Oreochromis niloticus: one gene and its partner. The protein of the gene in region 1 binds, or shares a complex with, the protein of each later gene. Links are inferred from orthologs where the notes say so. Each region holds a gene or a part of one and is shown on either strand. Other genes may lie near its edges.

Region 1 (7,959 bases):
AGGAAAGAATTAAAATAAGTGGAAACATTTCAGAAACACTGGAAATGCCTGAATGAAATTTAAATGCAACATAAACAACTAAGCTATAGAGAACTTCATACATCCATCGGATAGCTGTATAAAATCCCAACTCTAAATCTTTGAATTCCTGTTTTCAGTTCATTGCTGCAAGTGTATAAAAAGCAAGTAGCCAAGCAATGGGCCTTTTCAAACATTTACAAAAGAAAGGGTTGCTCTAAATGGTTTACTGAATTTGAGCATGGTACTGTAATATGATGTAATAATTAAGTTTGTGAAATTTCTTGTCTCTGAAATATTCCATGATTAATTGTAATTGGTATTAGTGCAGAGTAGTAATGTTTATAAACCGAAGACATTTAGCTGTGATGTTGCAGACCATGTAAAGTTCTAGAGTGATTGTGTTAAGTGCTAAGGCACACCACTTGTAAAAGTTGAGCATTCCAAACCTCCTCTTAGCACATGGACTGTGCATCAGGAACTTCATGGCATGTATTTCCACGGCCAAACACCTCTTATAAATGTAGTTGGCCCAATACTTTTTGATGCAGTAAAAGAGGACATGTAAGGGATTAGTGTGACAGAGTAGGATACTGACTAGGAGGAGGAGGAAAAAGAGGAAGATAATTGAAATGGCAGTAAAAACAAAACACAGTTGAACACTCATGTCTTCAACCCAATCATGCTGGCTGCACCAACATGCGAGGTTACAAAAATTAAGAAGAACACAATCAGCTAAAACAACAGTGAAGTCCAAAGCATACTGCTGCATTTCTACTAGGGCTCCAACAATTAAAATAACTCAATTATAAAAAATCCTCAACACAAATGTTTTGCTCCAATGTTTCGTTTAACACACGGCAGTGTAGTGTGCAGTTGTTACCATGTAAACATGAGCTTTTCACCCCAATTTGTGACTGAAAATAGACTTGCAATAGGAACATATCTAAGAACAAGCATGTGACTAAGTAGTATGATGACATTAAGCCTACGCAGCATAATTTTATAGTTTAACGTGGAGTCTGTCTACACATGGATGTTGAGCAAAGAGGTGGAACCATTATTGAGACAGTAAAGTCAGGTAGAGTGAAATAAAACGTTTTTCTAGTGTTCAAAACAGCAGTGCTGTTCCTGTAATTACCATTAAAACCTTTACTGGGAAGAAGGTTTTGGCCCTTAATGAAAGCACCTGATCAGCAAACTCTTACATGAAGAAAAGTGAAATTTGTAGCTTCTCCATCCACCACCGTTTGCTTTATCTGCAGATTCTCTACAGCGAGAAACAGTAAAGCTGCAGAAATTACATTAAAATATGCAGATGAACTGTTAACTTAGTCTGACCCATGTTTAAATTAGGCAGCCTGCTGAAGGCTGATGGCAGCCGTCCCACTTTCTATCGCAGTGATACCTGCAGCATGCAGGGGGGAGTCTAAAGGGGGGCGTGAGGTGTACTAGACCATATTTCAAGGCTTTGATATTTCAACATTATTTATCAGATTTAAAGTGAAATCAAATCAAATGATCATAAAACTGCATTATTATTTAAAAATATAAAAATGTTTTTTGCAGGGCAATATAAACGTACATAGGCCAGTTGAACTGAGGCTCTTATGTTGGACACTGAATTATTATTAACATTCATTATTAACCTCCACACCATCATAACAGAAAATTAATGATATGAAGATGTGATAAACTGAGGATGAGGATACTTGCTAAAACATGTCCAAGAAAAGTCAACATTTTTCTAACTGCCTGGATTGGGCATCTAGAGCCTAATTGACATAAAGGAAGAAAGAGGCAACCATTCACAAATACAGCCAATTTAAAATCAACAATTAATGTAGCTTGCATGTCTTTGTGGGAGGAAGCTGGAGTGCCTAAAAAGAAACCACACAGGCACAAGTGGTAAATGGATGGACTGATTCTGGCCACTCAAAGTGCTTTATACAACATGTCACATTCACCCATTCGCACAAGCACTTTCTTCTATGATTTAAGTGCTTTCTATCTATAAGCATTCACACACTCAAAGCAACTTGGGGTTAGTATTTGCCCAAGGATACTTGGCATGCAGACTGGGGCAACCTTCTGATTAGTAAGTGACCTGCTCTACCTCCTGAGCTACAGCCACCCCACACGACCATGCAAACTCCTGCAGAAAGGCCCCAGCTGGCTCTCTTGATTCAAACCCAGAGCCTACCTTTGAAGTGACAGCACTAATGACTGTTCTACTTGTCATTGCTTAAAAATTTAACATGGACACTTGTGAATAGTTGAAGAGATATCCAAGATAAAGTATGCTCCTACTTCATTCCATCATGACAGTGCCCTACGAAATGACGGAAGAGACGCGCTCTACACACACACATAGCTGATCACTTTGAGAAGTTTCCCCGATCACTAACCAAAAACATGTGAAGGAAGACAGAAATCTACAGTCAGACCACAAGAGTAATTCTAACAATAATAATAACAACAATAATAATATTATTAATAATAAAACAGCCAATCATAGCACTGATAAACAAAAGCTACAACAGTTAGCCTAACGTCTTCAGCACAGTTTGAAGCTCTTGTCGTAGCAGCTCTATCGTGTTATGTGCATTTAGAAACTTAACTCCAGCGCTGTAGCTCACCTAATGTGCAAGTAGTAGCTAGCTACTACATACTTCCTTGATGAGTTGCCTCTTCGCTGAACAACTACGGGCTGAGCCTTTCATCGGGTCGCAACCGAGAACTTAACAGTTAACAACCTGGGACAAATTTAACAGCACTAACGTGTAGCCAAGCATAAGAAAAATCGAGTAAACGTCAGGGAATAATTCGGCCCAACAACTGAGGAAAAGAAACACTTACCTCATAAAACGCCTGGACCATTTCCACCAACACCCATTGCTGTCCGGTCGCCATGTTTGACTTCCTGAAACGTCACTCGCAATCATGCCACACCCCTATTACGTCACGCACCACTGCTACTGTCCTTATCTCACGCAAAAATCCCCATGACTTTATTTTTATAATAGATAGATAGATAGATAATATTTATAATAAAATAAAAAAAATAAAAACTCTTACTCTATGCAATACTGTGCTAAATGCCACTTTAAATCTTGTACTGCTCTAAAAATTTGCACTGCTGCTCACTCTTGCCACTTTATCTCATGTGCAGTCACGTTGTCCCACCCCACCTCAATACATGAATATTGAGGTAAGGTGCTCCATCAATACATTTCTATTTTCTCTTTTATTTCTTGGAACTGTAATTTTAGTGTTATATTGCATTATAATTTTAACTTATAGTCCTATATTGTACTATACTGCTGAGAGACTCGTCTTCTGCTCGCCTAACACATTTCATTGCAATGTTGACCCTGTGCTAACTTGCATATGACAAATATAGCTGAAAACTGAAAACTAATATCACAAAGGTGACTCAATGATTAAATTTAATTCAAATGAATAACTACATAAAGCATTAGTGTGATTAATGAATTTAATACTCGAAACTGACTGACTGTACTGAAACAAATTGTCAAAGAACAAAAGTGAAATTTAGTGAAGGCCGGTTTTTACAAGGAGTGCTTTGACACAGGATTTGAAAAAAACAAAAAACAAAAACAAAGACAAAAACATTCCAACAAACTAAATTTGGGTCAGAAACCATGATTTGTTTTAGTCCAGACGCAGTAATGACATACAGTATTACCTCTGTGATTGATTGTAGATACAAATTCATGTAAAATGGCTCGTGGCTAACAAAGCACCCTTTATTTAGCCCAACAATTTTCTGTGGCAAAAAACAAATAAAACATACAAAGAGAAACTGCAGCATTATCAGAATGCACCATCAGAAGAACATCCCACGCTTGAAAGAGGTCAGCGTAAAATAGCTCTATTACAGGTGCTAGAGGTCTGCCTGAACTGACAGGAACAGGGGTGGCTCAAAATATTCATACCAGAAAGTGCTGCATAATCAGTCAACCAATCAAAAGGCTTGGCCAAGAACTCACCAACTTCAAGCTTCAATAACCAACTGTGTGGAGCTGTGACATCTGGTGGAGAGCTTTGTTTTGCCACCAGTGCAAAAGTTCAGGCAGAGCCTTTTGGGGCACTCTTTTGAGACTGCAAAAACTAGCAAGTTAAACTAAATTTTGTGGTGAGCAAAGGAAGGAAATAGAATGACCCTCAAACTTCAGTTGGTTCCAGATCACTTTCTTGAAGATTGAAAAGTTGATTCATTTTTCATTTGTGTTTAATTTTAGCTTTTCAAGAGTCTGTCCTAATGACTCCTGTAGTTACATTTAACAACAACAAAAATAAAAATAGAATCAATAAAGGATAATCACACATCTTCTATTAAGAATTAAAAGACAATCATTTACACTAAGCATAATTACAATAAAAATAGTCAATAAAATAATAAAGATTTTTCAGAGCCAGCTAAATTAACAGCATTCAATCTTTGCATTTCCATATGAACATCATTAAATCAACATGAAATAATTAAAAATGGAATTTTCAACCAACCCTTTACTAGATTTACCTCAAATGTCTAAAGGATTTTAAAGGTCACCAGATCATTGCTTAATCAGTCAGGGAAGAAAGCCTATATTCAATTCAGAAACAGGACTTCAGTCTAAACACAAGATTTAGACATTTGCTTATATTTTACAATCAAATCTCATTTTTATAATAAATACTACTGCTTATATCAGTTCTAGAGTTACAGAGAGCCATAAACTTGCTGAAATTGATCTTAAACTGTACAAAAGTTAAAATGTCTGTTTTGAATTGCAATTAATAAAACAATACCTACATTAGCCATCTGGCTGCATGGCAAACTTAAAGTGCATAATAACACATAATTATCAAAGCTTATAAATGCTGTGACTGAAATTGTTAGATGTTTTTGATTTGTTTTGCAGAAAAAAATTTTCTTTTGCACATGAATAAGAAAGTATTGTGAAAGCGGTTATCCTGCCTTTAACGGAGTATTTTATTTATTGGTAGGTAGTGCATTCCACTTTCAAGCCTTTAGATGCAGCGTGTACCTTTACCTTTGGTTTAATCACAGAAATTTTTATTTATTTAGTTATAATGTAAAAATATTAGTGGGATGGAGGTTCAGGGGGGTAGTGCCAGGGAGGCTGGCAGGCCAGCTGAGATCAATTCGTTAATCACTCTCTCCCTATTTCAGTGATACTGGGACTTGGAGGTGGCAACAACTGGAAAGCTGCTGGGACGGCAGAGTGAAAGGCACAATTGTACATAAACGCACATAACGTGCAACACTGAGTGGTGTTTACAATAATTTTTAATTGATAAAGCTATAATATCTTTTTTCATTGGTATTTGATTTCAGCTGTGTCTACATTTATTGTATGCACCTTGGGTAACTGAGAATGAGGTTCTGTCTTAGTGTGTCTTCCTAGGTTTTGATTGAGTAAAAATGATGGCAGTGAAGCTGCTGAATTATGATACTCTAAAATTAATGAAAGCAAACAGGTTATAGTTAGACTTGAGACTGGAAATAAGACAGCTGAGCAGGACTTATTTCTAGAACAGAAGCATACAAGAAATGTGGACAGACGGTAACTACACAGGCTCAGCTTCAGATCTGCACGAGATGATTTCTAAACTGCAGTGGGAGATTAAGGTAGATTAGCTTAGATCAATACAGCAGGACCAAATCCCTCACCTACACATACATACAGATTGTTTAGCACAGCACACCATGCTGCTCAATGAGAACTTATGGAGAGAAGCAACAAAGTATCTAATTCACTGAATCACTGAGTTGTAGGCAACATAATTGTTGTAGGCAACAATTATGCTACAGACACAAACTTGTAGCAAAGTAAAACATCACTCTATGAATAACTTCCAGCATTCACAAATCTCACTTACCATATTAATAATTTCTGTTGATTTCATTGCCTGACAGTACTTTTTAATTGCCAAGTATTTTGGATAATTCAACTTGTTCTTTCGGCCATTTAAATAATTCCTCAATTTACCCAGATTAACAAGTAGTTCATTTATGCCGGTATAAAAAGGAGACTAGTAGAGAGTGATGCATAACTGTACAAAATAACAATCAGCTACATTTAGCTATTACATATACCAAATATTTCTTTTTCTCATTCTTACCAATTTTCCAGCTGGTTTAGAAGAAAGTAAAGAAGCAGATAGTTGGCCTTGCTTCTGCACTAAATTGGGTGCAGATCTGTTCTATCTCCTTTTGGTGTCTTTAACATTGGTCTATCTCCTGCTGGTTAAGCTGTGTCTAGTACCATTTCATTGGTTAGAGTACACTCAGTTTTAGAGACATGACTGCCTTGGGTGCCACAGTGCATAGCTATCTGCGTTCAAGCAGAACAGAAAGTAGAGGAGTCCTGGAAGGTCGGGGTATCAGGATGAAGTTCTGTTATAGCCTACCTCTATGTGTTTCTCAAGCCACATCTCTGCTAACTGCACAGCTGATGCAAATGCACTTGCTCTTGACCCAAGACACATTTTGTATTGCTTCTGTTCAAGGCTTGAATTGCAATTGACAGGATGATAAATGTGGACAATTCCTGGTTCTTGACTGCGTAAAACCTTTAAACCAGAATTAATAACTTTGGTGAAGAAGTCTACATCTTCTAACCCCCAGCCTAGGATTGATGTATCAAAACCTCCAGCTTTTAGTAAATCGCTCTTAAAAACACAGGTGGTTCCAAAGCCATAATCACGCCAAAAGCCACTTTTCTTGGTGAGCACAAAGTTGTTTTCACTTGAGGCTTTTTCACCATACACAATCTTAGGGCTGTATTGGCTAAAGATAACAGGAAAATAGACCTGTCTCCCTTGAATAGCATTATCTCTGCAGCGCTGCAGAGCATCACCACTAAAGATTAGATCAACATCGCAGAGGAACAGTAAAGTGTCATTATCAAGCTGTGATGAACCCAGCTCTAGAGCCAGCCCTCGTGAGAAATTTCCTGTCATGGGGATTAAAGACATTTCAGCTTTAGGATACTTTCTCTTATAGTCCATTATTAAATGAATATGCTTTTTTATATTCTTATTGTTTACATTGTCCACCAGAATGATGCAGAGCTGAACATTTTGTTTAGGTATCAAACACACTTTCTCAAAGTTCTCCATAAACCGAATAAAAGTGCCATAGCGACCAGACAGTGGGACAAGAATGCTGATCTTTTTCTGGCTTTGCTCCCACATTTCTCTTGTTGACTCATAGAACTGGAAAGGTGACAAAAACTTCAGAGAGTTGGATAGGAATGACAGGGATTGGGATTCAGAGTTGATGGCAGCCATAAGTTCTGACACATTTAGATCTTCAGCTTCACTAAAGAAAGGCCGGCTGAAGGACTGTTGAAGGTAAGCGTGCCGCCTCACAGGCAGAGTTATTTTACGTCCCTTGTGTTTTTTGTACAGAAGCAACAAGTCTAAGATGTATTCCGCACCATGTATTGGATCCACCCTGTAGTAGCCATACTGAATCTCTTTAAAGTCAATTACATGGCCACGTGTCTTTGAATTTTCATTAATCATTTCCATGACCTCTAGTATAATATTGTCTTCAAGGGCAGTGCGAAGCAATTTTCCAAGGCTTTGCCTAGCCATCTTGTTTTCAACGGCAGAATAAATATGTTGGCCTGTCAGGAAATCCCACTCAGTGACATCATTTCTCTCACTGGGCACATAGCGCATGTAGGAAGGTGGCGAACCCAGCTGTTGGTCCTCCCACAGTATTTCTGTATCACTAAGATAACTCATATGTAGGCCTTCACGGTGGAGTAGGATTGTGCGGTAACGGAGCCTTGAAATCTCACAGCTGAGCATGAAGTTGTGGAGCCGGTACTGGTAGGCAGGACTTTTGTTGGGATGGAGCGTAATGGCATTGTGGATCTTGCGACTGTGAAGTTCTTCAAT
Region 2 (7,896 bases), on another chromosome or scaffold:
CAAGGGTGTCCAGGACAGAGGGACAGAAGAGGGCTATGTGCCAGAGACTTTGTTCACACAAGATGAAGAGTCAACAGCCTCCCCATCCCTCACCCCTCTTTAGCCATCCCCCCTAATAACCACCTTCTTCAGAGAAGCTGCAAACACAATGCTGTCCCACTCCCCTCCTCTTGCTCTCAATCACTGCTGGGACAATGAGGGGAACTCCCCCCCCCCAGCACCCTACCACCTTCACCATCCTTCTGCCTCTCCCCGACCCCCAAACAGACACTTCTTTTATTGAAATTCTTTGGTGTTCTAATCCTCCGCTTCCTCCAGGAGCAATAATGGACTCCCTGCGTCAGCCTTTTCCAGCGAGGCTATCATCCAAGCCTGCCTGGGTCACAAGTCCACCCCTCCTACTGGAGAAAATTACCCCGGCAGTGTCATTCCTGTCACAAGCAGCCCATCCACAGGCCATAAAACCCCAATACCACTGACCTTAAGAACATATCTGTATTTGTGGCTAGATATTTCTGTGTTTTCAGGTAAAGCATTGCTCCATGCGTTAATTAAAGGCGCGACACTGATTTGCCAAAATCCTTTCTCTGCAGTGCTTCCAGATTTTTATAATTCTTTTATTTTATTGTGCTTTTTTCACAGTCTCTATCAACCTTTTAACATTTGAACAATTTCCTTGTGGCTGCAATTCACTGAGATTCTGAACTCACGAGTTGGTAGATGTCTAGAAAGTGCTGGAAATACAAAATACTGGATGAACTAAAATGTAAACCCGCACATTTTCTCGAAGAAGTGATGAGTACAGATTATACTTTATATGTTGTGTAAAGCTCATACTTGCATTGCCTAGTCTTATAGTCTTGTTATCTTCATTTACTAAAGTGGAAACCTGGTCCTATGACATGAGTAATCATTAAGCAACGTGCATTTAGACAGGCATTTAAAAAGGCATTGAATTCATTATATATAAAAACTTCTTTTTAAACACCTAAGAAGAGGCTCATTACCTTCTAAGTTTCTTTGCTGCTCAGAACGACAGAAAAAAGCAGGACTTAATTATGATAATTAATAATTACACCTCATATTATATCACTATGCCTCCACAGTTGTGTCTTTAAGAGTAGAAGCATCACAGTCCAGACTCCAGGATGGCAGCAACCAGTTCAAAGTGTGTTGATGGTGACATCTGCTGGTCTTCTACAATCAGACGCTGCTGTTTATCTGCATATTGCAGTCTGATGAGTGAAATATACAGGTGCCAAATACTCACTAATCTTTATGGTATCAGTAGCAAGAGATGTACAAAAAATGACTTTTTCAAACCTTGTAGAAGCTTTTTTTAAACGGACCAAACTGACTGTGTATTCTTTGACTGATTTAGCTTAAACTGCGATATTATAACATTATATGGCACAATATACTAAAGAATGCAACTTGTAGGCCCTTTGAGTTTGATTTTTTGCCACATCACAGAATATATAACTGCTTACAATTTTTCATTCCTGATTTTATGACTAATGTAAGCTACACTAGTTTCATTTTGAAAAGGTTATGATTTTTTTCAAATTACAGAGCAATATTTGGACTTGAAACAATGTAGAAAAAACAAAGAAGCATTCAACTAATTGTTTAAACTATGCTATAACACATGATTTACATGAACTGTTTAGTAACAGAATTTCAAGGCAGACAACAACAAATATATATGGTAAACTTCCTGGGTACAGATTTTTTTCCTGTCCCATTTTTTAGTTAAAATGTTCTTCCCAGAATACATGCACATGAGCTACAGTAATGTCTGTAAACTTATGGATGATAATTGGATACAGATTTATGCCTTGAAGAAAATATTCCTGGCTAAAACCATGCAAAGAATTTACAGTTGATTCGCATCTTAAGGGAGACATGGAAATATGAAATGCATCTCATCATTAAAAGCTCTTGTTGCTGGCATGCATCCTATTAATGGAATCGCATTACATCTGAAAGACTTAGCTAAATGAGCCGTAGGCAAAACCCTAAGAGTAGAGAAGTGGAGTTTACAGAGGAATATGTCTAAACATCTGTTAGATTTATAGCTGTGGAGAAATGAATGCAACCGCATGACACCGAAGCTTTGATCTATCATCATCAGTGGTAACTAAAGTTGTAAGACAACTATTAAATGGCACTCTGGACTAAACCAACAGCTAATGATTTAAAATGGCATTTTAACATATAACAAAACCTGTTTTTCTTAATTACATTTTGGTATTAAGGTTTACCCGCACCATCATTTACACGAGTGTGTGTTACTGAAATCACTGAAATACTCATCTCTTGATGTCAAACGTGCCCAGATGAGTACTTTCATTATCCCCCTCCTCCTTATATGTATTTTATCAGTGTCATGTACTTGGTCATTGTTCCAGTGCCAGAGATGATCTCACAGCACTGACATGCATAGTTCTCATTTGAGCAGAGCTCTAGGTTTACATATCTGACACAACTATAACTCCCAAGGCTATGAGCACACGAGACAGTCCACTGTCAGACGGCTAAACCCGTTTGATGCCACTCATCACAGGGGTACCCTTGGATACAGTAGGTGTCACATAACATTTCATGCAAGCAGAGGACTGATGACCCCCTTGGCTTCAGGCTACTGTGGGCCAAAGTTAGTATATGGGTTTATCTTGGGATCTAGAACACGACACTGTTGATCTTTTGATTTTGAAACCACAGTATGATCCCGTTAGACATTTACTGTTGCCTCTAGCAAGGTCTCCTCTCATCTTGGCTACATGAAGAATCGAGAGCTTTCTTTTATGTGTGTGTATAAAAATTTTGCTACTCACCATTTTGGAATTTTTAGCAGCTGTGAGAGCGTGGCTGATACTGTTTTAACTTGTGACTCCTTGTGTGTTACTGTGGCAAAATGCTAGCCTGTTGAAACCTAATGTAGTGTCTGTGGAGACTCACTGTCATTGGGATTTTATCAGAATATTCACTTTAATTCAGTTTTATTTATCTAGCACCAAATCATAACAACATTTGCCTCAAGATTCTTTATATTGTAAGGTAAAGACCCTACAATAATACAGAAAAAACAGCGAAAACCCCAATATTAAGATGACCTGCTTTGGGGAAACGCTTTGGCGACAGCGGGAAGGAAAAACTCCCTTTTAACAGGAAGAAAACTCCAGCAGAACCAGGCTCAGGGAGGAGCAGCCATCTATTGTGACCAGCTGGGGGTGAGGGGAGGAAGACAGGACAAAGAAACACTATGGAAGAGAGCCAGAGATATAAAGAAAAATAACTAATAAACAGCAGAGGATGAATGTATGGATTCATTGGTAACTTGTGATGTACTAATATATTTCAAGAACTGTCTAAAGACCAATTTCTGTAGCAACTGGAGTGAATCCATTGCTGGATGATCTCTAGATAATTTTGTGTTTAATCTCTCTGTTCCATCATATATTTATAAAATGTTTGTTTTTCTAAAAAAAACAGCCCTTCAACAGCTTCTCCAACTTAGGGCTGTGGGGGGCTAGACTCTTACTCTGCTGATATGGGGGGAAAGTATGGTGACCTGCAATATTTTTTGTCCTTTGTCACATCCTGTAATTGTGACAGTGTCTAACATTTTGATTTAGTCTAGTTTTCCAAGGCACTGCTATCCAGTGGTTATGAACAAAGACCATCATCATAAATCATGTGCATGTTATCATCACACTCTCTTGCTGCCTTGGCTACAGTATGCCAAACAGGGGAAAACAAACAGAGGAAGTCACCAAGTCTAAAGCTTTGCAGATTTCAGTGGAATATGATGGAAAATACCTTAAAGACAAGCAAATGCAGCAACAATAAAGACTATGAAGCTACTTATAACAGGATGACACTGGTGGAATTTTTTGCCTTTATTCTTGTAATTTTGACATTTCACATGGTGGTGAATAGCGACATGAAGTGAAACAGTGCATGTCAGTCTCACAAAGCTCCTGGGGCTAAAAACAAGAAGTGAAATGCAAATCTCAGTATGTTAGCTGGCTACTTTTAGCTGCTCCTTTATTCACAAGGGGATGCCACTGCACGACACATCAAATATGGTGCCAGATTGACAGATTTTTACAGCAGATGACCTTCCCGCCACAACTCCTAAGGGATATGTATCTCCTCACTGGATCAAACTAGGCATACTTCCTTGTTAGGGGAATGTGGAAACAACTAAATGATGGAGCCAATGGCCAAACTAAGGTTGTGTTCCTACTGAAAGCCAAAGACTATTACCAGACAGAACATTAACTTAAGGTTTCTACATTTATTGATAGAAGGTGTGTTAGAAGATGATGAAACAAACCTTTTATGTTTATTGAATTTGCCTAAATTTACTCAGGGAACTGGGAAAGTAGCATTTGACTAAAATGCCATATTGTTTGTCCCCAATGTGCTAAATTCCAGGTCAATTCAGCACTAACGTCAGCATCTGGGCACCTTAAAGGTGCTGTTATAAACGGATTTAGTATTATATACCCAACTGTAAGGCAATTATTTTATTAATAATACAATAGTAAAATTATTTTATATATATATATTTTAGTTTTTTGTCATCAGAACTAAGACGTTTTTATTTATTTATTTATTTAGATAGTTATTTTTGTTTGTTTAAAAATAAAAATATAAGCAATTTAATTGTATAAACTATACTTCCTCGTTTTTAAAATCAGGATTCTTGTTATTAAACGTAGCCTATAAGTGCCAATCACTTTTCCCTGAGCTCCTCCTCTGCCCTGACGTCAGGGAGACGTAGCTACGTGTTTTCAGCGCACTACGCTGTGATTGGCTAAATAAGCTCACGTGACTTGAACACAGCGTATCACTGAAAATTGCGAGGAGCAAAAAAACTCCTCTGAAACGTGTGCCGTGAGAGAGCGACGATGACGTAACACCGTGGACCGTGCTGTGTTGTCACCAGCTGTTGGCTAAAAGAAGACGAAAGAAAAGTGGACGCGTCTCGATGGATTGCGTGTTCACGAGGGGACCGTAGGGCTTACAGCCACGTTCGGAACTGAAGGAGGGGAACCGGGCGACTAATGGAAGCCCCGCAGACTCGTCAGCCGCGCAGGGATAGTATTAGTTACATAACTGAAGCCATCGATAACGGAAAAACTGTGATAACGGAGTAGTGCCCGTAAAGGTCGGAGTTGAAGCCATTTTTCTCTGCAGTAAGTGCAATGATTTCATTAATTAACCCAACGCATTTGAACTTTTCTTGTTTTTTGCTGTTTTTGCTTTCATGCTTCACTTCAAGATCTTTTTAAGGATCAATTGTCTCCAGTGATGTTTCCAGACAACTTGCAAAAGAGCATGCTGGAATGATCAGCGCTTGCGACATTGTTTACTCTAGTCAATCAGTTGCTACTGAACCAGCAGACACCAGCTTGCTCAGCAGTTTTTATTCACGCACAAGGCTACTTCTTAAAATGTGTAAATCTCATTTGATCATATTTCAATGTTTTCTCCATTTATACCACGGCAACAGGCATCTGATTGGCTTGCAGATGTCAGGTTAAAGCCATCATATAACCCACTGTTGCTTTATTGCAATACATAGTAATACATGAAAGTCATTATTTCCTTTATGCAGTTTCATTTAAGGGCAACCAAGCTACATGATTCATTTTCTTTTAGTTGAGTTCACTACAGGTGTCTGTATAACCCTTTAAATATTACCGCTTACCATTAGAGGTTGTAGATAGTCAGAAGGTAACATCTTTGGTTTTTGTTTCAGGAGACCGTTACACAAGTCTTACCGCCGCCATCATGAACGTGGGAACAGCACACAGTGAGGTTAACCCCAACACCCGAGTGATGAACAGCCGGGGTATGTGGCTGTCTTACATCCTGGGCATCGGCCTCCTTCATATCATCCTGCTGAGCATCCCCTTTGCCAGTGTGCCCGTGGTCTGGACCCTCACCAACCTCATCCATAATCTGGTTAGTGGTGTAGTGGTGTCCCTCAAAGGACCAGCACAGCCACGGTTTGCCTTAACCTTTACTGACTAGGTCAAGTCAGGTCAAATCAAGTCGAGGGCACGTGCAGCAGAGTGAAGAGGTTTAGGATGTGGTGAATGAGAGTAAGTTGAGAGCTGAGTCAGAGACATAACTGCTTGCTGCTTCACTGCTCTTAGACATGCCTTTGGTTAATGAGGTGGTTCTTTAACAAGCTTCTTATTTTTTTTTTATTTTTTTTTTTCAAATTTTCATAGTTCCTTTTTTTGTCTTTTTCAAATTGGACAGGCCCACATTTCTTGAGAAGAGCGCAGTATTAACCACACCGTGATCCGGTTACACAAGTGAATTTGCTAGTTGAGGCATGGGCTGTTTCATCATGCAGCTTAAAAGTGTTCCTAATATTGAGAACACATCCGACTTTTACTTATGAGCTTTACAGCAGATTTAGATTTATTTTAAAAGAAGAAGAAGAGGAAGCCCTTAACTTAGTAAGTTAACTTCCTGGAAGATTTTGTACTGAACAAAGTTTGCACTTGTATTCACATATCGATAATCCACTAGTGTGGCAATCATGTGACAACAGTGTTCTGTTTTCCCCTTCTCTGTAGTGCATGTACCTGCTTCTTCATACAGTCAAAGGGACACCTTTCGAGACCCCTGATCAGGGCAAAGCTCGCCTCCTTACACACTGGGAGCAGATGGACTACGGTGTGCAGTTTACGGCTTCACGCAAGTTCCTCACCATCACACCTATTGTCCTGTAAGTTGCATTCCTCTGCTTTTTTGTTTAGTGCTGCTTTTTAAGGACCCCAAAAAACGCTAGAGGACAATATAATGGGACAACACCTGAAGCAAATATGTTAGGTCTAAGGAGAGTGTAGACAGGAAATGACAACCAGAGTAGGTCATCAGTTCTCTGACAAGGACATGATGTCTCACTACCTTGTCATCCATCAGCTATTTTGTGTGTGACAGGCCTAAAGCACAAGCAGCTCGCTATGAATGAACCTGTGTGTTTGTGGCTTAATCACAATGCCAGTACCTTTTATTCTGAGTGAACTTGCACACACTTATACCTCAGTGAAAAATGTATGCTGCATTATAAAATTGAGTGCTTACTATCCTTTGGCGTGAGTGTGGATTGATTAGCATACACACTGCTCCCTTATTAGCCAAGCCTGCACATTGAGAAGGGGCACAGTGTGTGCAGAAGTGCCGCTTGCTGCTTTCTTGGCCTTTTTCTGTCCTTATTAACCACCACAGTTCAGTTTACAGGAAGCACTCTGCTTCCCCAGGGTTTATTTGCCAGCTCAGCACGAACATTGTAGCGATAGCGCTTTTGCAGGTGTGGACTTTGTTTTTGCACTTATTTAAAGGGGCTCTTTGTCATTTTGTTTCGTAACCAGCGCCAGCAGGAAGAAGTGAGCGGTCAGTCTTTAGACTCCAGATGTAAAGGCTACACATCTGCTGAAATCTTCTGGGAGTGTTTTTGTACATGTCCTTACCTGTTCCGCTGAGAGCAGGAAATGCAATTCATCATTCTCACTTAACAAAAACCCCTTACTGCCACACCTAAAAGTGCGACTCATATTAAATCAGCATAGTTTTATTTATCCCAGCATCTCACCAGGATTAACACAACTCTGCAAACATACAGCCAGCACACAAGCCGAGTTTATATAGAACATGTATGTGGTTTTGGGGGGGCGGGGGTCTCAGGGGGCCATAATAAAAATAATAAAAAATCAATAAAATAAGTGTAGGATCACATGATGAAGAACTGTAAAATAAGATGCACACATTGCTGAATTCTGCTAAACTCTATAACAACATTTGTTTTTTACTTCTCATATTTTACTTTGGTTTCCTCTGAGGTTACAATAAGAAAAACTAGCTTAC

The links. Proteins that work in one complex are often made in the same cells at the same time.
Region 2: the proteins of sptlc1 (region 1) and ormdl3 are in contact, whole or in part, in a cryo-EM structure (PDB 7K0N), measured with the Homo sapiens proteins. The link is inferred for Oreochromis niloticus from reciprocal best matches to the Homo sapiens genes SPTLC1 and ORMDL3. Residues at the interface, in NP_006406.1 of Homo sapiens: Ala16, Leu17, Ala20, Pro21, Tyr23, His24, Leu27, Glu28, Leu31, Ile32, Trp34, Ile35, Leu38, Leu39, Ser41, Lys42, Thr43, Tyr44, Lys45, Leu46, Gln47; in NP_001307730.1 of Homo sapiens: Gly92, Val93, Gln94, Phe95, Thr96, Ala97, Lys100, Thr103, Ile104, Ile107, Tyr110, Phe111, Ser114, Tyr119, Gln121, Phe124, Thr128, Leu131, Met132, Leu139, Pro140, His143.

Annotation. Positions count from the first base shown.
Region 1 is NC_031972.2:8,069,008-8,076,966, forward strand, and holds the start of sptlc1 (serine palmitoyltransferase 1), read right to left. Parts: upstream 3,011-7,959; 5' UTR 2,932-3,010; coding exon 2,878-2,931; intron 1-2,877. Other genes in the region: chondroitin sulfate synthase 3, read right to left, coding at 6,433-7,959. UniProt on the Homo sapiens protein: Component of the serine palmitoyltransferase multisubunit enzyme (SPT) that catalyzes the initial and rate-limiting step in sphingolipid biosynthesis by condensing L-serine and activated acyl-CoA (most commonly palmitoyl-CoA) to form long-chain bases.
Region 2 is NC_031973.2:5,869,830-5,877,725, forward strand, and holds the start of ormdl3 (ORM1-like protein 3), read left to right. Parts: upstream 1-4,887; 5' UTR 4,888-5,207; intron 5,208-5,773; 5' UTR 5,774-5,805; coding exon 5,806-5,979; intron 5,980-6,605; coding exon 6,606-6,757; intron 6,758-7,896. UniProt on the Homo sapiens protein: Plays an essential role in the homeostatic regulation of sphingolipid de novo biosynthesis by modulating the activity of the serine palmitoyltransferase (SPT) in response to ceramide levels.